2 linked regions of the Caenorhabditis elegans genome follow. The protein of the gene in region 2 purifies or fractionates together with the protein of the main gene of each other region. This does not show direct contact. Each region holds a gene or a part of one and is shown on either strand. Other genes may lie near its edges.

The links.
Region 1: the proteins of Y54F10AR.1 (region 2) and fbxa-40 fractionate together in Caenorhabditis elegans (co-fractionation; one large-scale study listed by BioGRID). This does not show direct contact.

What each region holds. Positions count from the first base shown.
Region 1 is NC_003284.9:1,935,944-1,951,952, forward strand, and holds fbxa-40 (F-box domain-containing protein), read right to left. Parts: upstream 6,257-16,009; coding exon 6,093-6,256; intron 5,587-6,092; coding exon 4,959-5,586; intron 4,908-4,958; coding exon 4,689-4,907; downstream 1-4,688. Other genes in the region: Y59E1A.4 (uncharacterized protein), read right to left, coding at 3,070-3,229, 3,938-4,044; rgs-8.2 (RGS domain-containing protein), read right to left, coding at 8,007-8,079, 8,331-8,446, 8,496-8,665, 8,710-8,840, 8,889-9,088; fbxa-41 (F-box domain-containing protein), read right to left, coding at 13,218-13,436, 13,488-14,115, 14,622-14,785.
Region 2 is NC_003281.10:2,564,503-2,582,468, forward strand, and holds Y54F10AR.1 (Phosphatidylinositol transfer protein N-terminal domain-containing protein), read right to left. Parts: upstream 11,184-17,966; coding exon 11,167-11,183; intron 10,755-11,166; coding exon 10,560-10,754; intron 10,502-10,559; coding exon 10,184-10,501; intron 10,126-10,183; coding exon 10,005-10,125; intron 8,886-10,004; coding exon 8,724-8,885; 3' UTR 7,656-8,723; downstream 1-7,655. Other genes in the region: nhr-239 (Nuclear receptor domain-containing protein), read left to right, coding at 853-930, 1,482-1,645, 1,692-1,773, 1,831-2,054; Y54F10AR.2 (Mitochondrial genome maintenance exonuclease 1), read right to left, coding at 2,966-3,194, 4,078-4,183, 4,470-4,530, 4,843-4,950, 5,218-5,319, 5,874-5,963, 6,007-6,103, 6,951-7,045; Y71H2B.8 (FTH domain-containing protein), read left to right, coding at 14,812-14,954, 15,185-15,260, 15,347-15,478, 15,680-15,771, 15,816-15,908, 15,994-16,138, 17,395-17,604.

The sequences.
Region 1 (16,009 bases), on a different chromosome or scaffold from region 2:
AGATAATGTATATTGTAGGGTTTTACCCTTTTTCTCTTTTATTTTTCCCTCAACGCAAGCTCTTTTGTCATTTTGACACGCCAAAACCTCTGATTTCCTGCTCAACAAGTTTCGCGCCTTGCGATCTTGTTGACGCACTTTCAGTGCCTTGCGCACACGGCGACGCGAATCCAAGATTTCTTAGCACTTCTCCCGCAAGAACGGATGCAAGCCGGTCGACGCCGTAATGCTCGCCGTTTTCCATTGTTACAAGTTTTAGGTTTTTATTGTTTTTAGTTAAGATTTAGGGTTCAGTTGAGGAGTTTTCTCCTTGTTTTCAGTGTCTTGGTCTCGAGTATTTCGAGATATTATTGGTTTTCCTGGTTTAAAAAGACTTTTTCTTTCTAATAAATCTATTAGTAAGATATCAAAGGTCTTCTGTTCTTAGTTTTCACGGTTACAAGTTACAAAGTCTCAGTCTCAGGTTACAATTGTTTAATTAATAAGGTCTTGATTTATCAATTCCTTACTATATGATAGAATTGAATGTAGGTTTCTAGATTCTTTCTCTTTCATGCCTTCTGCATTAGATAAATTAGCAGAAAATTTGAGTGATTAAAACCTACGCCTTTGTAAAAATTATTATAGCCCCCATCAATTCCAATTGATGAGAAAGAAAGGTGTTTATCCATATGAATACATGGATTCATTCAAAAGATTTGATAAAACAAAACTCCCAAATAGAGACAAATTTTATGACAAGCTCAATAATAAAAAATGTAAAAGAAAGGGTATCGGTATGCAGTGAAAGTTTGGAAAAAAATGAAGTGTACTAGTTTGGAAGATTACACTAGAATTTATATGATCAATGATGTCCTACTTTTAGCAGATGTATTTGAAAACTTCAGAGCTTTGAGTCTAAGGGTTTATCAACTTGATCCTTGTTGGTACTTTACTTCTCCAGGATTAGCTTGGGATGCTATGCTTAAGAAAACTAAAGTAGAATTAGACAAACTTCATGATGTTGAGATGTATCTCATGATTGAAAAAGGAATTAGAGGTGGAATAGTTAATGCTGTCAAAAGATATTCTAAAGTTAACAACAAATACACTAAAAACTTCAATGAAAAACAATTAACAAATTTCCTTTTGTATCTAGATGCTAACAATTTGTATGGATGGGCAATGTGTCAAATGTTACCTACTGGAGACTTCAAATTTGAAACTCAATCTTTAATAAGTATTCTCAATGGTGAAGCTGAAGTCAAATCGGATCTAAAGGATTATATTAATTATTTGAAGAAGTTAGATAGAGGTTGCATATTTGAAGTAGATTTAGAATATCCCAAAGAAATACACTCAAGGCATAATGATTCTCCTTTGTGTCCAGAGAATGTAAAAATTGATAATCACGTTATTAAAAAGTTGTGCAATACCTTATTTGATAGAGAGAAGTATGTGATCCATTATGAAAATCTTTTACAGTGTCTTCAATTAGGACTTAAGCTGAAGAAAATTCATAGGATCATTACTTTCAAGGAAAGCAATTGGTTAGCCTCATATATTGAAATGAACACAAATCCCAGGAAAAATGCTAAAAATGATTTTGAGAAAGACTTTTACAAATTAATGAATAATAGTGTATTTGGAAAAACTATGGAAAATGTCAGAGAAAGAGTTGATGTCCGTTTAGTTACTGATGAAGATAAAATCAAAAAATTAGCAAGTAAACCTAACTTTAAAAGAAGAATAATAAACACCTGGTAGCTGTAGAAATGGAGAAAACTAACATTGTTCTGGATAAACCCATTTATGTTGGATTTGCTATCACAATTCCTACTTCTTTTTCTCCAATTCCTTCATTTGGTAGAGTATCTCGCATGAATACTCCACGGAAATTCTTGATCTTGAGTATTTCAACTAATTCTAAGAGATCTAGATTGGTTAATGGCTTTAGGTCTTTTCGGAGACCAGAAGTAGTCATTTAATAATAAGCAAAACTTCAAAACTTGTGTTAAACGCTTCTACTTTCCACTTCTTGACTTTGTGCTTTTGGGAAAACCAAAGTAATAAGTAAAACAAAAAAGGCAAAAAAATAGGGCGCACATGGGAGTCGAACTGTCATCCTTCTCTTTGGCCAAGCAACCTGCTACCGACTGAGGCATGGAGGCCTTGGAAGTGTTCTCCGTTATGTACCCAGCGCGGCCTGGCAGAGACGCAGAGGAGACAACCAGCAGTGAGAGCGAAGAGAGAGAGAGAGAGTGTGTGTGTGTGCTGAATTTCTTGAATTTACAAGAGATACTGTTAACTTTACGCCGTTAAAGTCTCGCGGAGGAGTGAGGAGAGATGAGCTCGCGCAGTGATAAGCTGATGTAAAACTAGACGTGGAATAGTGGTAAATTTCAGATGAAAAGTGCACGAAAAAGCATTTTTTGCAGAATTTTTGTGGAATAACTGTGTTTTGCCATATAAAAAACCATCCCACAACTATAGAGATGCGCCATAAAACAGCGAAAAAATGAGAAAAATCGACGAAAATCGGTATAAAATCAAATAAAAATAGAAGGAAAATATTCACCTCGTAAACCCACACCTGCGGCACGGTTTCGTGGGAAGGTCTTCTGTTCTTAGTTTTATGATGAGAAAGAAAGGTGTTTATCCATATGAATACATGGATTCATTCAAAAGATTTAATAAAACAAAACTCCCGAATAGAGACAAATTTTATGACAAGCTCAATAATAAAAAATGTAAAAGAAAAGGTATCGGTATGCAGTGAAAGTTTGGAAAAAAATGTAAACCCACACCTGCGGCACGTCTCTGGCGGGAAAATTCAACGTTTGAAAACTCACATACTGGCATCCAATGAATTTTCGGATTTTAAAAATTAATATAAAATCAGGGAAATTTTTTTGAATTTTTTCACATGGATATTCGGCATCAGGGGCAAAATTAGAGTCAGAAACATATATTTCCCCACAAACTCTACTCCCCCTTTAAAAATCTAACAAGTTTGGGCTGAAGGCTGAAAAAGTAGCTCCTAGTAGGGATACCTGGGGGTTTTCAAAAATTTTTGGAAGAACCGTGAAATTATTTATAAACATACGTTCCCAGTTTCAGGATATCTTCCACTGGTTTGTCAGGCGATAAATCTGTCACATCAGGACTTTCCACACAAAAAAAAGGAGATGTGGGAAAGCAAGGATCCGGCGGTGCGCAAGTTTTTGCCGTCGAATGCAATATCTCACACCTGAAAATTGAAAGTTTATGAGATTAGTTACAGCTTTCATTTGACGGTAGTCACAAAAAAGTAAGTCCACTCAACGTAACCTAGCCACTTTTCCTGAGGCTTCTGCACTATCTTGCTTCCTAGATTTTTTCTTAATTTCCTAAAACTTATTGTGAAGTCCTCAAATGTGCTCAAAAGTGATTGGAAGAGATATTTCAAAACATTGTTCAATTGACAAAAAATTGAAACGCAGGAGGGATCGAACCATAGCCTCATTTTAACGAGACACACCGACTACCGACTAGGCCACAGAGGACGGGTGTAAAAACGATTTGTTGAGTTACACAAGATTGGAGGTCTATAGGATTCAGTACCAGAGTTTTAGAACGTCATAATCAGCAGCAAAAAATTATTAGACCCGAAACTTATTCACATTTGAATGTGTCAAAAATACCCATACCTTTTGTTGGAATATCATTACAATTTCAAAAAACTGCCCAAACTTTTTTGTTTGTCAAAAAATTTTCAAAACCAGCTCAGGAAACTACCAACAACTTATAATCAAGGAAAGTTTTTCTCATAATTCTACAGCAAGTTTTTGATTTGGATTTAAAAATTGCATGTCACTCAGAAATTAAAAGTTTGTCGCACAGCCTGACACGGAATATGGACTCTTTTCAAAAAGCTTCTAAACAAGCATATAACTTTATCTAGCTTAATCTCTCTTACCCGTCATCATCCGTGAAGACGCTAGAATCCATTGATGGGAAAACTGAGCGTGCAGATGGATGGGATCCAACTGCCTTCTTGGATTGTGAGCTGTCAGGAGACGACATCTGAGCAGATTCAGGGATTCGCGAGATATCTGAAATAAAAAATTATAACTTTGAATAAAGCATTTCAAGAGTTAAAAGTCAACGGCAAACATTTACAGGTACAACAAAAGAATTGAAAAGGTTTGAAAGAACCAGAAACTGAAACAAAATAATCAAACGCAAGTAAAAGTGTTATAAAACCAATAAAAAAAAGTTAAAACGGATTCTAGAAGTTTCTGCAGTTTGTCCGAAAGCTCCACGTGTTCGTGTTGTTGTTGTTGATGCAGCCGCGGCAACGTTGCAAGGTCAGCCAACGTGGCGGTCGGACACGCTTTTTTCATCTTTGTGCGCATGCCGTTGTAGTCACGGTTTAATTGTTCACATGATTGGAATTTTTTTCACATGGGCTTGAGCAATTTTGATGAATATTTTTGGTGTTTTTTCCCTTTACCAAAATGAGATGAAGCCAATAATTCATTTCTGTTTGTAAATACAAGAAGTTATCGAAAATATTCAAAAACTCTCCTCAAAATGTCGAACCTATAGAGGTGGTTTTTTTTGAATGCAGCGCTACTAGAAACTGCAGTACTACTGGAAATGCATCATATACCGTATAATAATTACTTTGAGTACTTCAACAAAAACGTTTTATTTAAAATGAAATTTCACAATCTTTTCACAGAAAAGATAAAAGGGACATAAATACATTTAGTAGATTGTACAAGTGAAATTTCAAATTTGTGAGTTCCATTTGAATATTTGAATTTATATTCTTTACCACCAGTATAGTCCGATTTGAATATTCTCGCAATTTCGATTGGGTTCAAGGTCAATTTGTTGACTGATAAAGTGCACTGTTGGAATGTGCTTCTTCTCATTAGATTCTGCAAGAAAATCAATTATCTGACCAAAAAATCCAAGTACATATAACTTACATCTCTTATTTTAACTGCAAGTTGTGTTGGGAAATCGGTTATTTTGTAGACACAGAAATGTGGAAAATGAAACAGATTTTTAATTATTTCACTGTCAACATTAGAATTTGTAGCTTTGAGGCCAAAATGTTTTGCATTTGTCCACTGGTCCAAATAAGTTATTGGCTCAAATTGTTCTATTGGTTCATTTTGATTCAATTTTATTGATTTCAGTGTTTTATCATCAAAATAAGATAGAAAAGAAACGACATCATTGAATGAGAAATTCCAAATTTCGACTGCATCCACTGGGAAACATTCTTCTGGTTTCAAAAAATCAATAAAAGATTTTATGATCTCTTTTCTATTTTTTGCATAATTATATATTCCTAATGTGGAAACATGCTTCAATAAAAACTTCAAATCCTTGAACCCAACATCCATGAAATTTTCTTCTTCAATTTCAATTGTTCGCTGACCGTAGCTTACAGTCGTACCACCATAAACTGCTCTAATGTAAATGGGAAATCCATTGTCCAAGCACAAGGTGATACTGTGATCATGTAATTCGAAATGAATTGAATCGAAATGAATTCCAAATTTATTGACAGCAGATTTCAAACTGTGGCATACTTTACGCAATCTTAATCTGTAATGAATTGGTGGTTATTTATGTAATTCTGTGTTACAATTTGAAAGGTTCACTCATTTTGAAGTAATCAGCTGGTACCCAAGATTATGTGGTTTCAAACTTTTTTTATGTGACCCTTGTTAAGTCTAGAATATTTTAAAATTGAAAGGTCTAGTAGCCAGTGGTAAAAGTTTTAATACCTACTCCTATGGTTTTCAATTTTTTTTTGAAATTTATTTATTTACAATAAAAAAGTGACAATTACTCAGTTTTTGTCACTCATAATTTTGGAAGTCGAAAACTTTGGAAAAAAATTTCCTACATTTTTATACAGCAATTTTGTTTTAATTATTCGTATTAAAACTTCGTATTAGGGGTCTAAAAATGCTACATTTCTTTGGATTTTCTCAATTGCTCATATTTTTCAGAATTTTGGCAATTTTCCAAAACTTTTCAATTTATTATAATTGAATTTAGACAACATTCCCACTGGCACTACTCCACTAATAATGAATTCAACTCACAAGTCCATGGGCTCTAACTTTCCCATTACTACATTGATCACATCTAGAGGCATATCGAGCAGATTTGAAGACATCACACCTTCGTTTTGCAAATTGGGTCTTTGTTTGAAATTTGATAATTTTAAAAACCGGGTGGCAACAGCCTTCAAGCAATTACCAAACATTTCGAAAGAACAACTGAAAATTAAAAAAAAAACTTTGGGGAGTCGGTATATTGTTTCAAATCGCTAACCAAAAGTTTGGATGAGCAAGTAGAAAAATGTTTGCTCTCTCGGTATTTGTTAATTGAAGAGTGGTTGCAAATGTTTACAGAAAAAAAGTTTGCTCAAGTTTCTCTGTTCTGAAAAAGTTGAGGCTTTCAACGTGAATTTCGATAATGGAATTATTTTAGTTACTATCGTTGATATAGAAAAAGTTGGATTTTTTCATTTTAATATTTTAAGAGTCATCTCAAAGTTTTCAGATTTGTTTTCTTAAAGTTTATTCTCATTAAACTTCAATTTAAAACATATTTAGTAAGTTTCGGACAATGAAAGACAATAACTTTACAAACTATGGAAATCCAGTTCGAACGTTGTAATTTTAAAAAGATTTTTAAGGCCTTGAAAGTGTTTTTAAGTCAGATGTAGTAAACACAAACTTTTTTAGCAAATTAGATTTTCTGCTTGTCAACAACAAAGGTACTTAACTGCCAACTGTCAACTGTCAACTATCAACTGTACATTGCTCCATTGTGATTAAGCCCATACAATGACCAAATGTGCGTTGTTTGAAAACAAAGCAGAAACACCTCCTCCTGGGAAAGACGAGCTTCACGACTAGTATCCGGTCATTTGGTGTTTGAATTTGGACAACTGGTGGTTGTCCTCACATTTATTTTCTAATTCTTTATATCTAATTCTCTATTGGTTTTAAATGATGAGTGATGTAAACTTTTTGTATATATGTATTGACAAATATTTATAGTGGCTAATGATTTTAGATGAGTAAATACAGTACTGGCCAATAAGATATCCACTTTTAGTTTTTTGATGATTTCGCTTTTATTCCGTTAAACTCTAAAACTAAAGATGTTATCAAAAAAAAAGGTCAACTAGTTACATGTAACCCGTGATCAAGACTATGTTTTTTCAAATTTATTAGTTTTAATTAAAAATTAAAAAAATTAAATTTTTAATTAAAAATACAAAAATCATGGCAAAAAATAAAGCGGCCGACATCTCGTGAGTTTATTTTTATAATGATTACTAAAACGACTATAAATCAAAAAAACCTATATTTTTAATGGAAAGGTAGTGGAAGTATCATAATGTTAAATAATTTTTCTATTCTAGTCATATCTGGGAAGCAATTGAGATTACTACACTCCGAGGAGTTGCTTAATCGTAAATTGTCACCTCCAATATAGTGAACGACAATGCTCTTTTAATAAAATATTTAATTGCATAGGGTGCGCAAAAATGATAGATATAGCGAAAAAGGCACTCAAAAGTTTTGGAGAGACCAGCTGCAGACGGGCGACGGATTTATATCTAGATTAATTTAATTACTCGAATGAAAATGCAATTTACAGAAGTATAATTGAATTTTGAAAGTTAAATGAATGGGTGAAAATCTATTTCTAGAACTATCAGCAATTTTCGTCTATCCGCACCCATTTTAACCAACTTTACTAAATATTTGCTATTTTTGCAATAGGAATTTCTAGAGTTGGTTGAGAAATTTCTGCAAATTGAAGAGTGATTACACAATTACCCGGAGGCATCATGCAACAGTTTTATTTCAAACAAGACTTTGGTTAGTAATAATCAATAAAATATAGACGTACATTTAGCAAAAACAATAGGAACTGGGAACTGGGTGGGAGGTGTGAAAAATTGTAGAGAAAACCAAAAAAATATGATGTCACTCAATTTACTTCTTTTGCTGATTTGCTGCAGACGATACCGAATGGAGGAAGTTCAAGTAGATGGGATCTTGGAGGAATCTGAAAAAATTCTCTTTTGAACTATTCGAAAATTCTCCACAACTTATCACCCAAATTTAGCAACTTTTTAAATTAAGTTTAGTCAATTTGCAAGAATTGAAGTAAAATTTTTGCCGTAAATCGAAACTGAGGACAGAAATCGGAACCAAAAGCTCATAACAAAAACCGCAATGGTGCCAGAGTGTCCCGTGAAACACATTTATCTAATCACCGTTCACCAAATCTTTACAAAAATTGACTTTTCAACTTACTTCTTGTGCGAATCCTTTGGAAATTTGGTCCCAACATATGCCTGAGCAGTGATGAACACATCTCTCGGGGTGCCACCGTCGTCGTCCACAAAGCAAAATTTATCAAGTAGATCTATCTGAAAATTCCAATCACAAAATTGCTTAGAGACATTTACTATTACTCACCTTTCTTTCACACGTCCAGAACACATAAGTATTGTAAATCATATAAGCTGCGTATTCGTATCCATCCCGTGTCATTTCTGTCCACCGATGTTTAGCGCATGCCAGCCAAAAATCGACATCATCAGCCGACGTCTGTTGTTTCAGAAATTGAACGAAAAGTTTACTGCCGTCTGAAAATTGCAGAATTAAAAAGGAACTTGAAAGCATTTCTTACATTCGCTGGCGGCAAGAGATTCCGGCGATTTCTGCCAACTGAGCACATCCTCTTGAAGTGAGAGTTTTGGAGAGCGGCGGAAAATTGAAACCGGTGATTTCAGTGCATCCCTGATACGAGTTATTGTATTTCTGCAAAAAGGTAAAATTATTGATTTAAAAAAAAAGAGCAATTCTTACCGGTTTTTCCTGATATTTCTCACTGTGATAAAATACAAAATCATCAACGCATCCTTCGTTTTGATCGGACCATTTTCCTCGACAACGCGGTGATCGGGAAACTGTCGATTCCAACATTCGATTCCCGAGGAATGGAAGAAATCCTGGTTGGTAATTTGAGGAAGATTCTGCATCCACGGATCAACGGTGGCCATAGACATTTTGAGAGAGAGAGAGAAGAAGAATGAGCGGTGTTGCGAGAGGTGGGCTGTGTTCAAATGACACGAGAAGGGTGCCCGTTTGCATTGGCGCGCAATTTCTGCATTCCCAGGAGGCATACTTAATTGAGGTCAATGTTTGCAATTGCCAAACAGGAAAAGAAAACGTTAATAGTAGGAGGAGTTTGGGTTTGTAGAAGTTGCATGAACAAAATATGGGTTTTTTCTTATCAGGTTTGCATGAAAGTCTATTAGGGACTGCAATTATAATAAGAGTCCATATTATACCTTTTGATAACTCTATGTGTACGACTGATATAGTTCCACATGTTTTTTAACGAAACACAAATATTGAAAATTGTAGAAGTTTCTAGAAGAGTCTAGAAAAGTTTTTTAACCCCCCCCCCCCCCCCACCACTAATTCTAGTTCAACTGAAAACATAATACTTGACACCACATTTTCTAGTGTAACTGAAAACATCGAAACTAAAAAAGTTACACGAAAAAATAGATTGTTACACGAAAAAATAGATTGTTACACGAAAAAATAGATTGTTACACGAAAAAATAGATTGTTACACGAAAAAATAGATTGTTACACGAAAAAATAGATTGTTACACGAAAAAATAGATTGTTACACGAAAAAATAGATTGTTACACGAAAAAATAGATTGTTACACGAAAAAATAGATTGTTACACGAAAAAATAGATTGTTACACGAAAAAATAGATTGTTACACGAAAAAATAGATTGTTACACGAAAAAATAGATTGTTACACGAAAAAATAGATTGTTACACGAAAAAATAGATTGTTACACGAAAAAATAGATTGTTACACGAAAAAATAGATTGTTACACGAAAAAATAGATTGTTACACGAAAAAATAGATTGTTACACGAAAAAATAGATTGTTACACGAAAAATAGATTGTTACACGAAAAAATAGATTGTTACACGAAAAAATAGATTGTTACACGAAAAAATAGATTGTTACACGAAAAAATAGATTGTTACACGAAAAATAGATTGTTACACGAAAAAATAGATTGTTACACGAAAAAATAGATTGTTACACGAAAAAATAGATTGTTACACGAAAAATAGATTGTTACACGAAAAATAGATTGTTACACGAAAAATAGATTGCTACACAAAAAAATATTAGGTTGGTCAAAAAGTCTTTGCAAAATTTTGAATTTTTTTTGTAAGAAGTATTTATTGAAAGCGAACAAGATTCAATGGGTAATATATTCTCCATTAGTGTCTATGACTTCTTGCCAACGCAACGGAAGTTGAGCAAATCCCTCCGCATAGAACTCCTGAGAGTCAGTAGGAGCCAAGTCCGGTGAATACGGTGGGTGAGGCAAAACTTCGATTCCGAGTGTCTGGAGCTTTTGGCGGGTCTTCAAAGTTGTATGCCATCTTGCGTTGTCATAGAGCAGCAACAATTTTGATCCTCTAGGGTGATGCAATCGATGAGCACGGACCATCTTTTCCAATTGAATAGAGTATAGGCCAGCGTTGATTGTAACGAAGTCTGGAAAAAGCCCTCGGAAAATTACACCCTTACTGTCCCACCAAATTGAGAGAAGCACTTTTTCTCGTGAAGTTTCCCTTTGAGGTCAGGTTTTTGTCGCGGTTTCCTCGACCGGGACCCACTCTTTATTCCTGGTATGGCTAACATACAATACCCATTTATCATTTCCAGTAATGATATCCTTAACCCAGTCCGTTGTTCGTTTCCTAGTGAGCAGCGAAAAAGAGAGGTCACAAAACAACTTTTCTGAGAATCGGACAAATTGTGAGGAACGAGTTGACCGAACTTTGGCACCCTTCCGGATTCGTGGAGATGGTTGATGATGGTTGTGTGGGGACGCTTGAGAGTCGCAGAGATTTCTCGTGACATTGATCTTGGATCATCTTCCAGGGCTCTCGAAATATCCTCATCGATATCCAAACGCGGGCGACCGGATCTTGGTTTATCATCGAGATCGTAGTTCTTTTTCTTGAACTTTTCAAACCAAAACTTCATGGTATTGTAGGAGACAGAGTTATCGCCTAATACTGCACACATATTACGACGAGCTTCGTTGCAACTGTGGCCTTGGAGGAACTCGTACAGAAAAACCCCTCGGAGGGTGTGACTTTCTGCGAGCAAATTCTCGGTCATTTTGAACAGTACCTACAAGTTTTTCAAATGTATTAAGCATGCACAGTACGTACTATACAAATAAAAAAACAGAATTGGAAAAAAATAAATCAACGCTGAGCAATGAAGAAACAAACAAATTTTGCAAAGACTTTTTGACCAACCTAATAGATGATCCTTTTTCTTTTCTTTCAGTTTTCAAACAAATTTTCAAATAATGTCTGATGTTCAAGTTTCTTCCAAATTTCTCAATATGCCTCTCACCATATCTAATCAGATTTTGAAAAAGCTTGGGTTCCTGGAACGGTGAGTTGTTTTGTTTAACTTTTTTTTAGTGCTCCATATGAAACAGGAGTGTGCGGCAAATCTCAAAATTTGCCGAGCTCGGAAAATTCGGCAAAATTGGCAAATTTGCCGTGCCTAACAAACTCCGAAAAAGTGACATTTTTTAAGTTTTTTGGAGCACCAAAACTACTGAATACACACATGGTTCTTTTTGAAATTTGCCGAACTTGGCACACGGCAAATTCGGCAAATTTGCCGCACACCGCTGATATGTAATATACAAAACTGTTCGGAAGTATATTTCAGATTGACTTGCCGTAAAGTGTGTCGAGGTTTGAGAACCGCCGTTAATAAATTTGAATTTAATGTTGGCAAAATCACGTTTAACTTATTTCTAGACAAGGTTTCTATGGAGTTGGAGGAAACCGTAATTTATTATACTTCTGCTGGGAATGGTGATATGAGTAATACAACTGGGATTCACAACCGTCAGGAAACGATTATCAAGGATTATAAAACTATAAAACTAACTAAAACTAAAATAAAACTATTTAAAAATAGCATTCAAGGATTTGGAGATGCTATTGAACACCGATTCAAAAGTAGTGTTTAACAATCATTCACGACTAGATAATATTGAATATTTTATCGATTATTTGAAAAGATCAAAATTTTCAAGCGTGAAAGGAATTTCCCTTCGAATGTTTACATTCAAGGACAGTTGTTCGATTCTCTCTAATTTTGATGCCCACGTGCTAGACAGTATTGAATTGCGGGGAAACGGAAGTATCGAAGATCTTGCTCAATCAGACCAATGAAAAAATGCAAAAACATTTTTATTTCGATGCAATCCGTTCGCAATTAAAAATTTATCAATAGAGCAGTTGTTTCACTTTGAAGAGTTTGATGTAGAAATGGACGTACTTCCAACTGAAAGTGCAATTGTAATCAGAGATGCAAGTAATAATGGTTGCATTCCGTTCTACATTTAATCGTATTACAGAATCTTTTAAGAAAAAGTACCTTCCGGAAGTGTGTAATACATTGCAAAGGGTATAACCAGAAGGAAATAGCGAAAGTATTCAAACCGGAATATGATGGTGGTAATGAGTATGCATTTGAGTATTCGGACAATAACAATTTATTTGAAATCAAATGTATGAGTCGGCAGCACTTTTTCAATTTTTTCGTTGAAAAAAAACGTTAATTTAATTCTGAAAGTATAATAATTTAATAAAGTTGGTTGATACAAAAATTTATTTTTGTTCCTTTTTGTGAAAATTTTCCTCCAAATTACTTCCCACAGATTCTTGCGGCTCAGTTCTAAAAAAAATTGAAGTTCATTGATTGGTGAGTTCATATGTATCATGGCATGTTTAAAGATTCTAGACTCGAAAAAAAACTATGCAAGAGTAGAGAAGTAAATACTCATGCTCCGGTGCTATCTGCAATTCTATGAAAGCAGTTTTCACAGAGTTTTCTTTTTATTCAGTTTCTTATGATTGTAAGTTACAGTCGAACCATCGTTGTGTTCAACAATAGACAGCGCCGGCCAAAAATGTATTATTGTTAGCACAGGATACATATTAGTTTTAGCCACTACTAGAAACTGCAGTACTACTGGAAATGCATCATATACCGTATAATAATTACTTTGAGTACTTCAACAAAAACGTTTTATTTAAAATGAAATTTCACAATCTTTTCACAGAAAAGATAAAAGGGACATAAATACATTTAGTAGATTGTACAAGTGAAATTTCAAATTTGTGAGTTCCATTTGAATATTTGAATTTATATTCTTTACCACCAGTATAGTCCGATTTGAATATTCTCGCAATTTCGATTGGGTTCAAGGTCAATTTGTTGACTGATAAAGTGCACTGTTGGAATGTGCTTCTTCTCATTAGATTCTGCAAGAAAATCAATTATCTGACCAAAAAATCCAAGTACATATAACTTACATCTCTTATTTTAACTGCAAGTTGTGTTGGGAAATCGGTTATTTTGTAGACACAGAAATGTGGAAAATGAAACAGATTTTTAATTATTTCACTGTCAACATTAGAATTTGTAGCTTTGAGGCCAAAATGTTTTGCATTTGTCCACTGGTCCAAATAAGTTATTGGCTCAAATTGTTCTATTGGTTCATTTTGATTCAATTTTATTGATTTCAGTGTTTTATCATCAAAATAAGATAGAAAAGAAACGACATCATTGAATGAGAAATTCCAAATTTCGACTGCATCCACTGGGAAACATTCTTCTGGTTTCAAAAAATCAATAAAAGATTTTATGATCTCTTTTCTATTTTTTGCATAATTATATATTCCTAATGTGGAAACATGCTTCAATAAAAACTTCAAATCCTTGAACCCAACATCCATGAAATTTTCTTCTTCAATTTCAATTGTTCGCTGACCGTAGCTTACAGTCGTACCACCATAAACTGCTCTAATGTAAATGGGAAATCCATTGTCCAAGCACAAGGTGATACTGTGATCATGTAATTCGAAATGAATTGAATCGAAATGAATTCCAAATTTATTGACAGCAGATTTCAAACTGTGGCATACTTTACGCAATCTTAATCTGTAATGAATTGGTGGTTATTTATGTAATTCTGTGTTACAATTTGAAAGGTTCACTCATTTTGAAGTAATCAGCTGGTACCCAAGATTATGTGGTTTCAAACTTTTTTTATGTGACCCTTGTTAAGTCTAGAATATTTTAAAATTGAAAGGTCTAGTAGCCAGTGGTAAAAGTTTTAATACCTACTCCTATGGTTTTCAATTTTTTTTTGAAATTTATTTATTTACAATAAAAAAGTGACAATTACTCAGTTTTTGTCACTCATAATTTTGGAAGTCGAAAACTTTGGAAAAAAATTTCCTACATTTTTATACAGCAATTTTGTTTTAATTATTCGTATTAAAACTTCGTATTAGGGGTCTAAAAATGCTACATTTCTTTGGATTTTCTCAATTGCTCATATTTTTCAGAATTTTGGCAATTTTCCAAAACTTTTCAATTTATTATAATTGAATTTAGACAACATTCCCACTGGCACTACTCCACTAATAATGAATTCAACTCACAAGTCCATGGGCTCTAACTTTCCCATTACTACATTGATCACATCTAGAGGCATATCGAGCAGATTTGAAGACATCACACCTTCGTTTTGCAAATTGGGTCTTTGTTTGAAATTTGATAATTTTAAAAACCGGGTGGCAACAGCCTTCAAGCAATTACCAAACATTTCGAAAGAACAACTGAAAATTAAAAAAAAAACTTTGGGGAGTCGGTATATTGTTTCAAATCGCTAACCAAAAGTTTGGATGAGCAAGTAGAAAAATGTTTGCTCTCTCGGTATTTGTTAATTGAAGAGTGGTTGCAAATGTTTACAGAAAAAAAGTTTGCTCAAGTTTCTCTGTTCTGAAAAAGTTGAGGCTTTCAACGTGAATTTCGATAATGGAATTATTTTAGTTACTATCGTTGATATAGAAAAAGTTGGATTTTTTCATTTTAATATTTTAAGAGTCATCTCAAAGTTTTCAGATTTGTTTTCTTAAAGTTTATTCTCATTAAACTTCAATTTAAAACATATTTAGTAAGTTTCGGACAATGAAAGACAATAACTTTACAAACTATGGAAATCCAGTTCGAACGTTGTAATTTTAAAAAGATTTTTAAGGCCTTGAAAGTGTTTTTAAGTCAGATGTAGTAAACACAAACTTTTTTAGCAAATTAGATTTTCTGCTTGTCAACAACAAAGGTACTTAACTGCCAACTGTCAACTGTCAACTATCAACTGTACATTGCTCCATTGTGATTAAGCCCATACAATGACCAAATGTGCGTTGTTTGAAAACAAAGCAGAAACACCTCCTCCTGGGAAAGACGAGCTTCACGACTAGTATCCGGTCATTTGGTGTTTGAATTTGGACAACTGGTGGTTGTCCTCACATTTATTTTCTAATTCTTTATATCTAATTCTCTATTGGTTTTAAATGATGAGTGATGTAAACTTTTTGTATATATGTATTGACAAATATTTATAGTGGCTAATGATTTTAGATGAGTAAATACAGTACTGGCCAATAAGATATCCACTTTTAGTTTTTTGATGATTTCGCTTTTATTCCGTTAAACTCTAAAACTAAAGATGTTATCAAAAAAAAAGGTCAACTAGTTACATGTAACCCGTGATCAAGACTATGTTTTTTCAAATTTATTAGTTTTAATTAAAAATTAAAAAAATTAAATTTTTAATTAAAAATACAAAAATCATGGCAAAAAATAAAGCGGCCGACATCTCGTGAGTTTATTTTTATAATGATTACTAAAACGACTATAAATCAAAAAAACCTATATTTTTAATGGAAAGGTAGTGGAAGTATCATAATGTTAAATAATTTTTCTATTCTAGTCATATCTGGGAAGCAATTGAGATTACTACACTCCGAGGAGTTGCTTAATCGTA
Region 2 (17,966 bases):
TCACGGAGAAAAGGCAAAAATTTGGGGACCAACCAATATCAGGCCGCCGACATCCTACGGGTTCCGCGCGCCGCTATGTTTAACTCGCTGTGGGCGTGGTGCTGTCTCCGCCCGCTGCGAGTTAAACAAAGTTTTCACAAACCTGCTTCCCCACGTGGAACTTCCGCTCCTCCACCACCACGATTGCGTCGAACACGAGCTCCTTTGGCATCGAGAAGTCCATTCCAGCCATTGTCTCGTTAGAACTGCTGGCGGTGCTGAAAAATCGAGTTTTACTTTGAAAATCCAAGAAAAATAGGCAGAAAATCGGCAAAAAATGAAGAAAAATCGAGTTTTACATTGAAAAAAAATGGCCAAAAATCGGAGAAAAATGGGCAAAAAACGGAGAGAATTGATGACAAATCAAAGAAAATGGAAAAAAAGAAGAAAATTCTGGAAGTGCAATGAAGCGCAATTCCCGCCGGTGTTTGCGTATTCTGCGCAATTTTCGTTTGACCTACGTAGGTCAAATCGACGCCCGCTGCGAGTTAAACAAAGCGGCGCGCGGAACCCGTAGGATGTCGGCGGCCTGATATTGGTTGGTCCCCAAATTTTTGCCTTTTCTCCGTGAGTGGACGAGAAAAAGGCGGGGCCTAAATATGAGGTTTTCTGCAGTACACGCCACGCAGTTTTATTATTTTGAGTGTACGAAGCTGTAATGAAAAGAACCTTACATATATCTACAGAATTGAGACTCTTCGCACCAACGCCCCTGGGTAATATTAATTTAAAAATTGAACAGAATGTGTTGTCAATTTACGTTTTTAAATAGTGTTTTCTTTTTGCTTAACTGATATATCAAGTTCAATTCAGCTGTCCAAACTGAACGAGGACCTCGGAGGCTTCGATGCCTGCAGCTGAAACATACCAATAACCCCATCTCTTTCAAATGTAAGTCTATACTCGGGTAATTCATCAAAACTTATACACCAACTTAGCCTTGCATAGCCTTCTTTCTTCTAAGTTTGACTATTACAAAATTCTGAGAATGCGTATTGTGCAACATATTTGACGCGCAAAATATCTCATAGCGAAAACTACAGTAACTCTTTAAATGACTACTGTAAAGCTTGTGTCGATTTACGAAAATCATTTTTGATCGATAAAATATTAAAAATTAATAGTAAGCAAAAAAATGAACAAAATAATACGAAAAATCGAAGAAAAATGGAATATCGCTGTCACTTTTGGAAAATAAATTCATTTCGAAAGTAATTAAAAGAGATACTGTAGTTTTCGCTACGAGATATTTTGCGCGTCAAATATGTTGTGCAATACGCATTCTCTGAATTTAGTGTTCACGTAATACTTTGGACAACTTTATCCAACTTTTTTCAATCAAATTTAGCAACTTCTACGCTTGGCATTTCTAAAATTGCTAAAGTTGGTGGATAAGTTGTAGATTTCTTCTCTTATTCTCAGGTTTTTTTTTCCATTTCCAGATGACTCGATATTCTCGAAATCCGTAATCCTTACATCAAAATGCTTATTGCTAAACTTCATGTCCCAACAGGAACGTCGAGAAGTTGTTGAAGAAAACTGCCAAATCATATTTGCCCTATTGATATTGGCCAGTGGAGATGAGGCAGTACTAAGCAGGTTTCCAGTAAGTTTTTGGGTCTCACAGCGAATATTACCGTAACCCATTTAAGCCGCCAAAACCTATCCCGCAAAAAGTGCATTGTGACCCAGAACAACTACGGCTGACTATCTGCATACTTCTCTCCCAATCCAGTAAGTTTCAGATCCCCTTTTATTTATGCTAGATCTAGCTAGATATTAATTTTCCAGCCAGTCCCCTTCTGAAATTCGCTGCACCTTTGGAAAACTTTTATAAATGTTGTCTATGGCGGTACTCCTTCACAAATGACTCTATCGAGACAGCTACACAACTAATCAATACAGTTACGTGGCTCTATGAAAACGGACCATGGGAGATGTCAAGTTTGCTCCGAAGCTCCATGAGCAGTCTTATTACTGAAGTCTTTGAATCAGATAATGTTGAATTGTTTTGATTTTCAATTGATGGATGAATAAATGTTTTAATGAATTTACCGGTTTGCAATTTGCCGATTTGCCGGAAAACTTAATTCCGGCAATTTACCGGTTTGCCGGAAATTTTCAATTTCTGCAATTTGCCAATTTGCCGGAAATTTTCATTTCCGGCAATTTGCCGATGTGCCGGTTTGCCGGAAATTTTCAGTTCCGGCAATTTGCCGGTTTGCCGATTTGTCTGAAATTTTCAATTCAGACAAGTTGTCGGTTGGAATGTTTGTCGGAAATTTTCAATTCCGGCAATTTGCCGATTTGCCGGAAATTTAAAGTTCGGCAATTTGCCGGTTTGCCGATTTGCGAGAAATCTTAATTCCGGCAATTTGTCGATTTGCCGGAAATTTTCAATTCCGGCAATTTGCCGGTTTGCCGATTTGTCTGAAATTTTCAATTTCAGCAATTTACCGGTTTGCCGGAAGTTTTCAATTCCGGCAATTTGCAGGTTGGCCGATTTGCCGGAAATTTTCGATTCATGGCAATTTGCCGATTTGCCGGAAATTTTCATTTTCGGCAATTTGCCGGTTTGCCGATTTGCCGGAAATTTTCAATTTCGGAAATTTGCCGATTTGTCGGAAATTTCAAATTTGGGCAATTTGCGGGTTTGCCAGAAATTTTCAATTCCAGCAATTTGCCGATTTGTTGGAATTTTCAAATTTGGGAAATTTGCGGGTTTGCCGGGAATTTTCGATTCCGGCACTTTGCCGGTTTGTCCATTTGCCGGAAATTTCAAATTCCAGCAATTTGCCGGTTTGCCGAATATTTTAAATTCCGGCAACTTGCTGTAATTTTCACTACAAACATCAAAATTATAGACTAAAACCAGTATTTATTGGTTACATGATACATATAAATTTCAATGAAAAGGTCGCCTAAATCAAAATGAAAAAACATGAAAATCATAGAGGTATCGTGTATCATTTAGTCTAATCGGCATTTGACTATAAGCCTGCTGACAGATATCCAATTCGACAATCGTGTAGCGTGGCCATTTGAAAGTGTAGTCCTTGGGTGTTTTGATCCGTTGTGACCACATTTGTGATCCTTTACGGATTTCATTCAGGAGACTATCGAATTTGTAGCATCCACCGAGCACCACTTTGTATCTGGAAATATGGAATTTTAAGTAAAAATTATTGATTTTTTCTCAATTTTTCGATGTTTTCAGAGAAAATTGAATTTTTTTTTACTTTAATTTTTTTTTAAAAATAGGGAGATACTTCGAATTTGAAAAAAAAAATTTGGAAACTTTTTCCAGGTTTCTATAATTTTTAATCATTTCTCATGTTTTTTGAAAATTTTTTTAAAAACTCGAATATATCTTTAAAAAATACGGAAAATCGAAATATTTCAAAACTTCTCTGAAAAAAGCCAAAAAAAAACGTTAAAAATGCAAAAATACCAAAAAATTGAAAAAAAAAACAATTTTTTTTTCTTTTTAAAAGTTTCAGTGAACAAAAACCAAAGATTTGGGTTTTTCAGAGAAAAAATAGGAAAATATTCAAAAATTTGAAATATTATCCAAAAAATCAAAAAATCGGTCAAATTGATTTTTTTTTTTTTAAATTTTTTCGTAAAGCTTTAAATTTTGTTTGATTTTTGAGTTTTTCCCGAAAATTATTTTTTAAAAAATTCTGTTAAATTACAAATTTTTTCCAATTTTTTTCTAAAAACACCGAAAAATCGATAATTTATGAATTTTCTCTGCAATAAACTGTAGAAATCGGAAAATTCAAATATTTTTGATTTTTTCTGAAAAAAAAACACCGAAACAAACGGAAATTTGAATTTTTTTTTTCCCGAATTTCTCTGAAAAAACACTGCAAAAATACCAAAAAGTTGTAAAATTTAAAATTCTCGTCGTTTTTCGATTTTTTTTTCGACCGACTCGAAATTTTTTGAATTTTTTTTTTCAAATTTCCAAACAATTTTTATTTCAATTTTTTAGAAATCTCTTAATTTTTCAAACAAATTTTCAGTATTATTAACCTGCAGAATATCTTATCCAAAGGCTTTTCCCCGTCACCCAAATGTGTATTTCCGACAGCGTCGACGTTTGTAAACTCTATCGAATGAATATATGGACCCATTTCATCTGAAATTTCGAAATTTTAATTTGGTAAACCACGCCCACAAAATGGACACGAAGGTGCAAATGCGCTCCAGTGGACAGTTGGAAATGTCAAGTTTTCGGTGGTAAAACCGCAAAAATTCCAAAATTTTTTAAAGATGTTTTTAAAAATTTGCAATGAAAATCACAAATTTTTTCAAAAAAAAAAAAACTCAAAGTTTTGAATTTCCCGCCGATTAGCATTGGAGCGCGTTTACAATTCTGAGAATGGCCACGCCCATTTAATGGACGTTTCACTTTTTTTATTTACGTCGGAGATATGGAAATTTGACGATATAGCCGTTGTCGCCGAGCAGGTCATCTTGTGTTATCTGGAAATTTTTTTTTGCGTAAAAATAATAATTTTTTGGGTCTCGCAGCGATTTCCACGCACAGCTCGCCGTGTACTCCCCGAGGAAAAGATTTTCAAGTTTTTGGCTAAAAAACTCGATTTTGAAGTATTTTTGCTGATTTTTTATGGATTTTTAAAATGAACTTTTTTTTTTAATTTGTAAATTTTTAACAAAAAAAACTGCAAAATTTTTGATAACTTGGCGATTTAAATATTCAATTCTTTTCCACGGAGAGTACACGAACTCCGTAAATCGACATTTCGCGGCAAGACCCAATTCAACAATTCTCACATTCAGCGCCTCCTTCTGAATTTTACTGAGCTTATGGGCGGCCGAGCGATGAAATTGCAGCGTTTCGTGTCCGCCGAGTGTGAATTCCGCCAAATTTGAAAAGTCTTCCTGGAAATTTGTAATTATATGGTAGGTAGGCACCTATTTTATGCCTGCCTGCCTACTGCCTATTTTTTGGGAAGTCGAAAATTTTACAGATTTTTTCAATTTTTTTTTTCAACAAATATTTTAATTTTTTTTTTAATTTTCCAAATTTTCAGGCGTACTTTAAGAACAAAAAACAATTTTTTGAGTTATTTCTGAAAAAATTGAATTTTCAAACATATTTTTCAGAATTTTTAGCAGGTAGGCAGGCACAATTTTCGTCTCGCCTACCTCCCGAATAGCTCGAAGAACTTCGAAAAAAACCGAATCACAGTGAGCGAGGAACTCCTTTTTCTCGTCTTGGAGGCCGATTCCACGGACAAATGCGTTTCTCTGAAAATTTTTAAAAAAAATGGATTTTTTGGAAAATACATTCAAACTTCCGAAAAAATTCAAAATGTTTAATTTTCAAAAATATAAAAATTCAAATTTCTCAAAAATTTCAAGTTTCCGAAAAAGTTCAAAATTCCGAAAATTTCAAATTTCTCAGAAATTTCAAATTTTCCACAATACAAATTTTCCAAAAAATTCAAATATTTTTTCCTAAATTTCCGAAATTTTAGGCCAAAAATTGCAAAAATCCAAAAATTCCAATATAAAAGTTTTCCAAAAAGTTATTAAAATTTCAAATTTCAAAAAAAAAACCAAATTTCTCAAAAATTCAAAATTTCCGATTTTTTCAAGAATTCAGCATTCCAAAAATTCCAAATTTTTCGAAATTCCGAAAATTTGCAATTTTTCAAAAAAAAACCAATTTGTAAAAATTTCTAAATTTCCGAAATTTTTGGCCAAAAATTTCAAAAATTTCAAAATTGTTCAAAAAAAAATCCGGAATTCCCAATTTCTCAAAAATTCCGATCGTGGCGAGACCCGAGAAGGTACAGTACCATATATCCCTGCACAAAAGCCTTCGCCTGCTCGATTTTTCCCTGTGGGGACTGCAAAATGAGACGTGGACAGCCCTGATGGAGTGATATCTGAAAAAATATTGATTTTATTTGAAAAAAAAATCTTCCGTACTCTTCCGTAATCCAAATAATTCCGATCGGATCGTGTAATTTGTACGGCCGGCTGTTCGGAAGAAGTAAGGATTTCATGGCGAAATGTATATTTTTCCCTGAAAATTTTGGGAATTTGCTGGTTTTTTAAAATATATGGAAAATTATGGGTTTTCGGCGGAAAAAACGAAATTTTGATTTTTTTTGAAAAAAAAATCAAAATTTTTTTTTTAATTAAAAAAAAATCGGCGTTTTTTTTTTTTAATTTTTTGTGATTTTTTTCAAGCGAAATTCAGCATTTTTCCGCAATTTTATTGAAAATTTCGGTTTTTACGTGTGGTTTTATGTAAAAATGCGAATTTTTAGTAGAAAAATGGACAATTTGTCTATTTTTGCATAAATTTTTGCTTTTTTGAGGTTTTTCGATTAAAATTTAAATTATTTCCTCAATTTCTGGGAAATTTTGATAATTTTTTTCAAGTTTATAGCGAATTTTTTATGGTTTTCTATTCAAAAATTCAATTTTTTAAAGTGTTTTTTTTTGGAATTTTCCCATTTAAATTCAATTTTTACGCAATTTCTGGATTTTTCTCCGTTTTTTAAAACATTTATGTAAATTTAGACCATTTTTGGCTATTTTTCCTATTTTTAATTTTCAAAATTATTTTTCCAATAAATTTTTGACATTTCCGATTTAAAATTCTTGTTTTTACGCAATTTCTGTATTTTTTTCTCTTTTTCGTGAAAAAATCGATTTTTCTGCAAGTTTTGCCAAGTAAAAATCGAAAAAAAAACCTCGAAAATGAGCTGAAAACTGCTCATTTTTTCGATTTTTCTTGTTAAAATGCAATTTTTACGCTGTTTTCCAACTTTTTTCCCAATTTTTTCCAATTTCATGTAAGATTTAGCGCTTTTAAACGTTTTTTAAAGCAGTTTTCTCCGAAAAATTGATAAAAAATCCCTCACCACAGCTTGGCGAGTGCTGCAACCCGCTGAAAATCTTTTTTCGGCGGTATTTCTGTACTAAATGCCCGTACGGTGGAGGCTGTAGCCCATCTCATCTGAAAATTTCGCGATTTTAGCCCAGAAAAATGGGTCTCGACGCGACGAAATTTTTTTTGTTAAATTCGAAAAGGTATGCGCCTTTAAAGAGTACTGTAGTTTCAAATTTTCATCAATTTTTCGGGGTTTTCGAATTTTTTTTTTTTAATTTCGAAAATGGATGAAATACTGCGATTTTTGAGCAATTTTTAACCCAAAAAGTGCAAAGTTGTGCATTTTTCAGCTCATTTTAAAGTTTTTTTAAATTTATTTTAATTCAAAAAAAAATTGTAGAAAAAACTTCAAAATTAGCTGAATTTTATTGCAAATTTTATCGATTTTTTTTATTTTTCAGAAATTTTTTTAAATCGAAAAACTGTGAAAAATTCGAAACTACAGTAGTCTTTAAAGGCGCATACCTTTTCGCATTTAACAAAAATTCCCGTCGCGTCGAGACCCAGAATGTCGTTTTTTTCGAAATATTTAGGTTCCTAAACCGGATTTTTTGGTTTTTTCTCAAAATTAAAATTTTTCAAAAAATAAAATGAGACATGCGTTTATTCTTCTCTGGAATTTTTGATTTTAAGATTTTTTGTTACTAAAAAAGAGGGGGGGGGGGGTCACAAAAAACAAAAAAAAACTGTATAAATTATCATTTTCTATAATAAAGAGCTGGGGGTGCGGGGTGATATGAGATTTTTTTTGCATTTCATTTCAGAAGCTATATAATAAATAGTGAGCAACTTTTGTTGTTGATTTCACACTGGTGTCGATTTTAAGGACAAAAAAGAGCTATGTATTCTAGTGAGTGGGAGCTGGTGTGTGTGGATAAAGTGAGTGAAAAAATGGCGCCGGGACGAAAAAAATAAGAAAAAAAAAATAGTTTTTAAAAGGGGAGCAGTGTGAAAAAATGGGGACTTTTGCTTTAAAATAATCGAAAAATAGGCAAAAAATTTTTTAAAAAAAGTGAAAAATACGTCAACCAATCAGCGATTCGCTCCGCCCATCATTCAACCAATCAGAACGCGTGGGCGGAGTTCGAAGACGCTGATTGGTCGGGGAGTTCACATTTTGGCGGGAATTATAAATTTTTCGCATTTTTTCAAAATTTCGGAATATTTGCTTTGAAAATTTTCAAAAAATCACCAAAAAAAACGAGATTTTCTGCGACCAATCAGCGATTCGCTCCGCCCATCATTCAACCAATCAGAACAGGTGGGCGGAGTTCGAAGGCGGGAATTCAAAAATTACGAGTTTAAAGTTATATTTTTCGCCATTTTTTTTTAATTTCCGAATGTTTTGCTATAAAAAAATTCAAAAAAAACAGCGACCAATCAGCGCTTCGCTACGCCCAGTTTTGGACCAATGATTGGTCCGAAAGTGGGTGGAGCGAATCGCTGATTGGTCGAAAGTCTCATTTTGGCGGGAAATTCAAAAAAAGCGGTTTTTAAGTAGAGTTTTTGATTTTTCGTGATTTTTCTTTTTTTTTCAAATTTAACATAATTTTAGAAATTTTTAAGCAAAATTCCCAAAATTCACACTACTCAAATAATCACACAGTTCATCATGGGGCAGGTGGATGGGTGGGAGGAAGCGAGAGAGAGAGAGAGAGAGAGAGAGAGAATTAGAGAAATAAGAGCGATGAAAAAAATCGGAAAAAGACTAGAATTTGAGCCCAAACACGGCCCGGTGGTCCATTTATCCATTCATTCCACGAACTTGTCCACTCTTCCTTTGCTCTTCGAGCTCTTTCTGGGCTTTTGCCTCGATTTCTCGAATATCGACCATTGTAAGGCCGTGCCATTTATCGATCCAGCAGAATACTTCCCGATGGAATTTCGAGAACAGGCGAGGGTATTGCTGAAAAATTTGGGATTTTTTTGGAGAAAAAATGGAAAAAAGCTGAATTTTCTAGAAAAAAAAACCTATTTTTCTGGGAAAGTAATGGAAAAATCCGAGATTTTTTGGCGAAAAAACCGTTTTTTTAAAGGAAAATAATGGAAAAATTATTTTTTTTTTTGGAAAAATCTGAAATAAATCTGATTTTTGAACATTTTCACGTGAATCTCAACAAAAATGTCCATTTTTCAGGTAGATTACTGGGTTAACAAAAAAAAACATTTTCGAAAATTTTACTTTATAGGATTTTATACAAAATTGCGCAGTTTTCCAGCTTTTTTTAAAATTAAAATTCAATTTTTTCGCACTTTTTGAAATTTTTATTAAATTAAGCAATGTTTTGGTTTATTTTTTTTATTTTTCATTTATAAAAATTTTCAGCGAAAAAGATGGAAAAAAATTTTTACGAAAATTGTGCATTTTTCAGCTCGATTTCTACATTTTTCGTATGCAATTTTTCGAAAACTTCTTTTTTTTTGCGGTTTTTTAAAGAAAATTTCTCCAATTTCAAGCTAATTTTTGAGATTTTTTAAATAAATTTATTAATTTATCGGGTAAAAATCCACTTTTTTGAAAATTTCCACGAGCATTTATGCGAAATTTTTCCATTTTTTCAGCTCGGTTTTCAGTTTTTTTCCGGAATTGTTCGAAATTTTGCTCGAAAATTGAAGAATGGCTGTGTAAAACCTCTTCCACTTAAATTAGAGGTTTTCTAGGTTTTCCTTTTGACTTTTTGGCAATTTTCGCGGTTTTTTCACATTCAAATTGGCAGTTTGTTAGGTTTTTAGGTGAAAACTTTATTTATCAGATTTTATTTATTTAATTTTATTTACATTTATCAGATTTTAAGTGAAAATTGTTGATTTTCACCTAAGAACCCTATAAATTGTCAATTTGAGTATGAAAAAACCACGAAAATCGAAAATTTCAGTTTTAAACTTTGAAATTCTTCTCCTCGGGGAGTACACGATCTGCGTAAATCGACATAGGGTTATTCTACAAATTTCAAACAAAAAAAAGCTCGTTTTTTGAGCATTTTCGCCCATTTTGTCGATCCACGAAATCCTCTCGTAATCTCACCGTATGCGCGTAGTTTTCGACAATTTTCTGGAATCCAAACCACTTGAAATAGACTGTAACAAGCTTGTAGGCACACATTACAGGCTGTACACTATCCTTCCAATTTCCAGATAAAGGACCGCTGAAATTTCAGATTTTTTTAATTTAAAAACTGAAAAATCTCAAGGTTTTTCCCGTACCGCCCGGTTTTTGTGCTCTGAAATTTGGATGGAGTGGAGTCTGGATGCAAATCTCCGGAATTCAAATACTCGTGATCATTTGCAATATTAATATTGACAACTTCTCGTTTCGCCAGCTCATCGCCCTTCAAACCGTGCGCATTTTCGGTCGTTCCGTTGTCCGGCAAGTGGATTGTCTCAATTTTCACATAGAAATTCTCTTTCATATAGTCTGGATTCGTGACAACCGTCTTACAGTACGGATAGGCATTCCATGCTTCTTCGTGGATAGCCAGAGAACCTTTTGGCGCGATTTTTCGCAAAATTGCCGGGACTTTCCTGAAAAAATTGATTTTTTTTCCAATTTTTTTCGCAGAATTAAAGAAGAAAATCCTACGATTGAAGATGATAAATCTTATGAGTATATTGTCCTTTCGTGAATTGTCCATTGAGCAGTGGAACATTGTCAAATGGCTCATTTTTGAGCACTTCCACACCTTCACCGCCACCCGTTTCGGCTTTTGAGGCCTCGGCCACAGACCAGAGCTGGCCTACTTGGTACTCTTCGACGGACATTGGAAGCACAACTCGGCTGAAAAAAAATTTTTTTTTTTGAAAATCTGGAAAAAATCCAATTTTTTTGGGAAAATCTGGAAAAATACGATTTTTTTTTTGAAAAAATCTGGAAAAAATCCGATTGTTTTGGGAAAAGAATGGAAAAAATCTGGAACAAATCCGATTTTAATGGAAAAATCTGGAACAAATCCGATTTTAATGGAAAAATCTGGAACAAATCCGATTTTAATGGAAAAATCTGGAAAAATACGATTTTTTTGAAAAAATCTGGAAAAAATCCGATTCTTCCGGGAAAAATCTTGAAAAAATCCGATTTTTTTGGGAAAAGAATGGAGAAATCCGATTTTTTTTTGTTGGAAAATCTGGAAAAAAACCGATTTTTTCCAGGAAAAATCAAAATTTTCGTTAAAAATAAAAAAATCACTTACTACTCCTTGATAATCATTCTTGCGAGTGTCGAATGAGGAGGAAACCACCTGAAAACTAAATTTTTTATGCTAGTTGCCATGGAAACAGCTTTACGGAAGATTAATGGGTGGAGAGCATGCGAAAATCGATTTTATTTTTGCATTTTGGAAGGTATTCGAGAAAAAGAAGAAAATTATTGCGAAATTTCGTAATTTGAAGGAAATTCACAAAGATTTTAACGATTTTTAGCGGGAAATTGAAAATTTTTGGATTTAAAAATAAAAAATTGATCGAAAAGTTAAAGGCGCACGGAGTTCCAATTGCCGATGGGTCTCGCAGCGAACTACAAAAGTTTGATAAATTTTTGAATTTTTTAAAGTTTTTTAGTAAAATTAAGTTGATTTTACCAATATTTAATATATTTTCTAACGTTTTTAAATAGAAAATGACAATATTAAATCGGAATTGGAAATTTTAACGGCGTCTCTCATGAAAAATACAAAATTCTCCCAAACAATGCGAAATCGTAGAATTATTAGTCATCATGAATAGAGAGAGAGAGAGAGGTGTTGCGAAATTTTTCTCATTTTGAAATTTCTTGAGGGAAAAATGGAAAAATCACTCAATTTTCCGTGGGAAAAGCGAAAAAAACGAATTTGAGAAGGGCAGTAATCGAAGGCGCATATAGTTTGAAGAGACTCGGGTCTCGCAGCGATCTACAGAAATTGTAATTAATTTTCAAGTTTTTAAACTTTTAAACAAATTTAAGCTATTTCTAGGTGGTTTTAAATGAAATTCTAACGATTTAATATTGAAAACTTGATTTCGAAGTGAAAATTAAGATTATTTTTAATTTCCGATTGGAATTCCGAGAGAAAAGCGAGCATAATACACGAAAAATCTTGAAATGGTTTTTAAAGGTGCATGGTCTTTGAATTGGCTCGGGTCTCGCGACGATCTACAAAAGTGTGATGAATATTTAATTTTATTGAATTTAAAATGAGTTTTCAGAAGGTTTTAACGATTTTCCGACCAATTTTCAGTGCAAAAACTGCAAAAAATGACGTGTTAAGGTCCATACACCCGCAAAAAACATAAAAACAAAGCGGAAAAAAGAAAAAAAAAAGACAGACGAAATAGATGAAGCAATAAGCGCAGCAACGAGGAGAAAATCGAATGCTTTCTGTGTTTCTGTCTCACTTGCCGACTCACTAGGCACGCGAAATGCGCAAGCATTCCTCTCGGTGACTTCGTATACTCTCTTCTCGATTAACAGCAGGGTTCGAGCCTTTCTTGGAAGAAAAAGAGGAAGAAATATTCGTTTTTTTTTCCTTTCTTTTAACGTTTTTGGAAGAAGGAAGACGGAAAAAAGATGGAAAATAGTATTAAAAATGGCCTTCCCCAAAAAAAAGAGGGCGGCGCGGCGAAAAATCGATAACACCCGGGACGGGGGGAAAACGGAGGAGAAAAAAGAGCTGGAGCAGAAACTAAATATGTCATGTTTGTGGAGTAGCGTGTGCGCTGTCAAGTTGAGAGAGAGAGGCTATATAAAGTAAAAAGTAACGACTATGGAGAGGAGCGAAATGGGTTGGAAAAACAAGTGACGGATGACATTTTCAATGGAAAATCTGAAAAAGTGTGAAGCTGGCGCGAGAATCACCATGGAAATGAGCGACAAGTTTGGGGCAGATACACATAAATCAAATTTCGACTTGCGGAAACAATATGAAATCGATTTTTTTGACTTTCCCCTATTAAATAATTAAAATTCAAAAAAAAATCGAAAAAAGCTGGGTTCAAGTGGTGCCAGGCTGTCCCATTACGGTTTGATCTACAAAAAATGCGGGAATTTTTTGCCAAAAAAAATGTGACGTCATCACGTTGTTAACCATGCGAAATCAGTTGAGAACTCTGCGTCTCTTCTCCCGCATTTTTTGTAGATCTATGTAGATCATGCCGAAAGAAGGCACTTTGACACCACGTGAATCGGTAAAGAAATGGAAAAAAAAAATCAAAATGCAGGAATTGAGACGCAGAGTTCTCAACTGATTTCGTATGGTTAGGAACGTGCTGACGTCACATATTTTTGGGCAAAAAAATCCCGCATTTTTTGTAGATCAAACCGTGATGGGACATGCTGATACTACGTGGTTATGCGCCTTTACACAGAGTACGGTACCTTTGGCCATTAAAAAGCGCCAAGAAAATTAGACTATCTGCTGAAAATCGATTTATTAACTTCCAAAAACAATAAAATCTAGAAATTGGAAGATTTTCTCTGTAACTGTAAAAATCTCGATTTTCGTCTGAAAAGTTAAAAATTGGCGATAAATTGGCTATTTAGGCTTAGGCTTAGGTTTAGTCATAGGCCTAGGCTTAAGCATAGGCTTAGGCATAGGCCTAGGCATAGACTTAGGCTCAGGCTTGGGCTATTGCTTCGGCCTAGGCCTAGGCTTAGGATTAGGCTTAGGCTAAGACTTAGGCAGATGCTGAGGCATAGGCTTAGACCTAGGCTTAGGCTTAGACTTGGGATTAGGCGTATGCTTAGGCTCAGGCTTAGGCATATGCTTAGGCTTAGCCATAGGCCTTGTGGCTTTCTGCAGGAAACTTTGCCCGATGCACCATGTTGAAAATGCCATTTTTTGTTGGATTCCCGGTGAATTCTACCCTTTTTGCGAAAAAAAAAAAAATTTCATTCAAAAATGTTCATATTGGAGGCCCGATTTCTGTAGTTTCCGCATTTTTTGGTGTCATTTTGTCTGAAACACAGACTTTGTAAATATTGGTAACCTCAAATGTACTTAAATCAATAAGACAGTGACTTTAAAAAAGTTAGTTTCCTATAGCTGCTACATTGACAAGTCTGTCAAATTTCAAATTTTAACTAATTTTAGGTAATTTTTTGAGTCGTCAAATTTTTTTGAAAAGTTTTCAACAAGTTTCATTATGAAATTCGGTGTTTTCAGACAACTTCGAGTCTAATTTTTCTTAAACCATGTTTCAAAGATCACATGTTTTATTTGTTTCTTTTGCATTTTCTTTCGCCTGCGTTTACCATTGCAACATTATCTTTGAGACAACAACACATGCATTATTTTTCATTTTTCGTCTAGCGTCTCTTCACATTGGTGCCACTCTTTCCAACCGTCTAACTGTCTACGATCTCCTGTTCTCTTGCTCTATACATGCTTTCACTAAAGCATCGGAATTGAGAGAAAAACGAAATGTATTCGATTGAAAAAAATTTTTTTTGAATATTTTTATTTCTACAGTTTTAGTGGTAATGTTGGCCCTTTTTGTCCGATGACTTAAAATCGAAAAAAACTAGAAGTTTTCTGAATAACTATGAGAAATTCGATTTTTAGAGACGCGAAAAAACAATTTTTTTATCTTTTAAAAAAATTACAAATTAATACATTTTTACATTCAAGTCTACTGATTTTATTAGATTTTTTTAAATATGCAAAATAGTTTTCAAAACATCTTAAAACCACTTTCAATTTTTAAACTTTTTTTTGAATATCCTAAATTTCTAAATTGTACTGCTGAAATTAATTTTTTTAATTTGAAATTTTACTCTGCTACTTCTAAATTAATTTTGGATTTATCTTATTTTAATTTTCCGTTTTAGAAAAAAAATCTCGGGTTTATTTTCAGAACTAAAAATGGATTCAAAATCCAAACCAATGACTGTATTCTCAATAGAATCAGTGCTCAGCCAATTTTCAATTAAGAAATTATGGGAAATTCGATCAAAAAATGAAGTGTTACGGAATATCAGTGATAAAATGGATCCCAATAAAACAAAGTTAGTTTTTTTTTCAATATTTGAATTTTTGAAAATAGATTAATAATCATAGATGTAAAACTCAACTATTTTTTCTGAAGTACAAGTAGACCAGGTTTTCCAAAATTAATAATTTTCAAACATTCTCAAATATCGACTTTTTGAAAAATGTTTCTTATAAAAGAAAACTTTAGACTATTAGGAATGTATAGCTTTTTCAAAAATAAAAATGTTTAAAATAGTATTTTCAGCAAATGGCCAGTAAAGCTTATTAAAATCGACGGGAACGAAATTTCTAAGCCGGACGGATTTACGACAGAAGGACATGTAAGTTATTGATTATTTATTTTTAAAGTTTCAGTTAACATTGTATCATATTAATACCAAACTTTTAATTTTTCAATTTCTTCCAGGTAACAATAAAAGGATTTAGACAGACGAGATGGATGGTTCCGCAAATTTTTCGAATTATCGATTCCAGTCAAGAAGTTCTCGAAAAATCGCTAATTCCGGTTGCCGAATCATTTTGTAAAAAAATGGCTTCAGTAAGTTTAATTTTTTTTTCTCGAAAAATTGAGAACAAATTAATAGTGAAATCAATTTTTAAAAAAACCGAGAAATTTACAGTAACCAGAAAAACTGAAGCAGAAGAAATAAATTTTCTAATTAAAGTTGTTCTGAAAATTCTACGCCACCGAGTAAAACATCGCAACCTAGAATTCAATTTTAAACAACATGTTTTTTAGATTGAAATCTCATCATCGGAAAGTGTGACCGACAAATACATAAAGACCGCTTTCAATCTTATTAACAATAGTCCTAAGCTCCAAGTGTTAAGGTAAGGAAAACAACTTTTTGCTCAGAAAATATTTAAATGTTCAGCTTACATGTCAATAATTTATCTGAAAGACATTTGCTCGACGTTTTGAATCGACTGAAGTTGCAAGAAAATGGGAAGGATACGCTAAGTCTCAGGTAATGAATTATGATGGGTGGTTGCCTAGTTTAAAAAAACACTTAGGCCATCAAAAAAGCCATTCTAAATGGATATATGTTCCAGCTTGAACTCCAGCACCGAGCTCACTTCGAGATTTATCAGTGAGGTTCTGAAAACGGGATTGCCGAATCTCAATATTCTCGTCAAAGCACCGCATCCGGGAGAAGCCCTTGTTGTTAACAGAGCAGCAATTGTACAATTTTTCGAGGTATGCGGGGATTCTAAGTTTTGAGGAATAGACCCGACAAGGGAAATCTAGGCCACTGTGGTCAAGACCATCTGAAAATATTTTATGAACAGCTTTTGGTTTTTGGAAATCTGAGTCTTCGAAGAAATCTCTGTGGCTGAGGTGTTGAGTTTTAGGAATCTACGCTATCTCTGAAGATTTGTGGTCTATTAAATATAGAGTGGCTTATGTTTTTTGAAGTGTTAAGCCACCGACTAAATTGAGTTGGCCTATATTTTTGTGTTCATAGAAACTTAGGCCATTAATTAAAACGACATCGTTTAGACATTTAGATGTATTTAAAAAAAAACCTCCACCGGTGATGTTTGCGTGGCCTAGGTGTCTTTACTTAAGACAACTCCAGGAATTCTAGATCACAGGTTCATGCGATTCTTCCGTAAACAGCTCATTAATTTTTCTGAAAATTTTCACGTTTTCTGGAAAATGTTCAAAGTGTTTGGAAACTATTTTAGGTGAACCAGCACCAGTTGGGACTTTAAAAAAAATACACTTATAATGATCCAAAATCTAAAAATTTTCAGAGTTTTCATAATTTCCGGTAAAGTTTTGGCAAATTGATAAAAATTTTGAAAAATATGAGCTTTTGAGGAAATCCAGATCAATGTCGCATGTATCAATGCTTAATACAAATCAGGGGTGGGCGGCAAACGATTTGTTCCGGCAAATCGGCAAATCGGCAAATTGCCAGAATTGAACTTTCCGGCAAATCGGTAATTTGCCGAAAATTTTCGGCAAATTGTGGTTTTGCACTTATTTTTTGGAATTTCAGTTTCAAATGGCAAAATTAAACGCATCACCGGAATTGAACTTTCCGGCAAATCGGCAATTTGCCGTAAATTAAAATTTCCGGCACATTGCCGGATTTGGAAATTTCCGGCAAATCGGCAAATTGCCGGTTTGCCGATTTGCCGAATTTGTCGACAAATAAATTTGCCAGATACAAATAACCGAAACATAATTAAAGTATAAAAATGCAGGGAAAAATATATGTTTGGTCGACGTCCAAAATGATGAGTGGCAATAACTGAGTAATTGTCACTTTTTGACAGTAAATAAAACATTTTAAAAAATCTGAAAAGTTTTATTATGTTATTCGGCCATTTTGACACCATATGAGTAGTATTTAACACCACAAAAAATAAAAAATACTTTGAACTTTTATCGGAAACTTTTACAAACTATTTCAAAAATATTCATGATTTTTTTAATTTTTCCAGAACTACGAACCTGCTGAAAATGTGCCAGGAATCAATCGTAGTTTAATATTCGATACAATGGAAGAAACACTGGTGGAATCAATATTTGATGATCTTAAAAGAATGCATCCAACGACTAGCAACGTGTATCTTGAAAACGGTGCTCTGATGTTCTGTACCCACGGGCCCAAGTATTGGATTCGATTCGAAGTTTGGTTTCCAGGAAGATAATTGGGGTTTTTAGGAGTTGCATGGATAATGTCATTTTTGAAAATGTCCCAATTCTCATTCAAAAATCCTAGACTTGAAAGTTTCTTTTAAGAAAATATCTGAAAATTTCAGTAAAAATGTTTAAAGAAGGAGTATCCTGAATAGGGAAATTGTTTTATAATGTAGTATTCGTGCTCAAACTTACGAATATAACAAAAGAAAAACGGGGAAAACCCGTTAACATTGAGCATTTTTAGTCAGAAAAATCGACGAAAAAAATCTTTAAAATTTAACTAGCGAAATCTTAGGCCACGAGGATTGCTCGAATTTAAATTCTGTTCTGCGTTGTGTTTTTAAAAAGTATTTTATGCAATTTCTTCTTC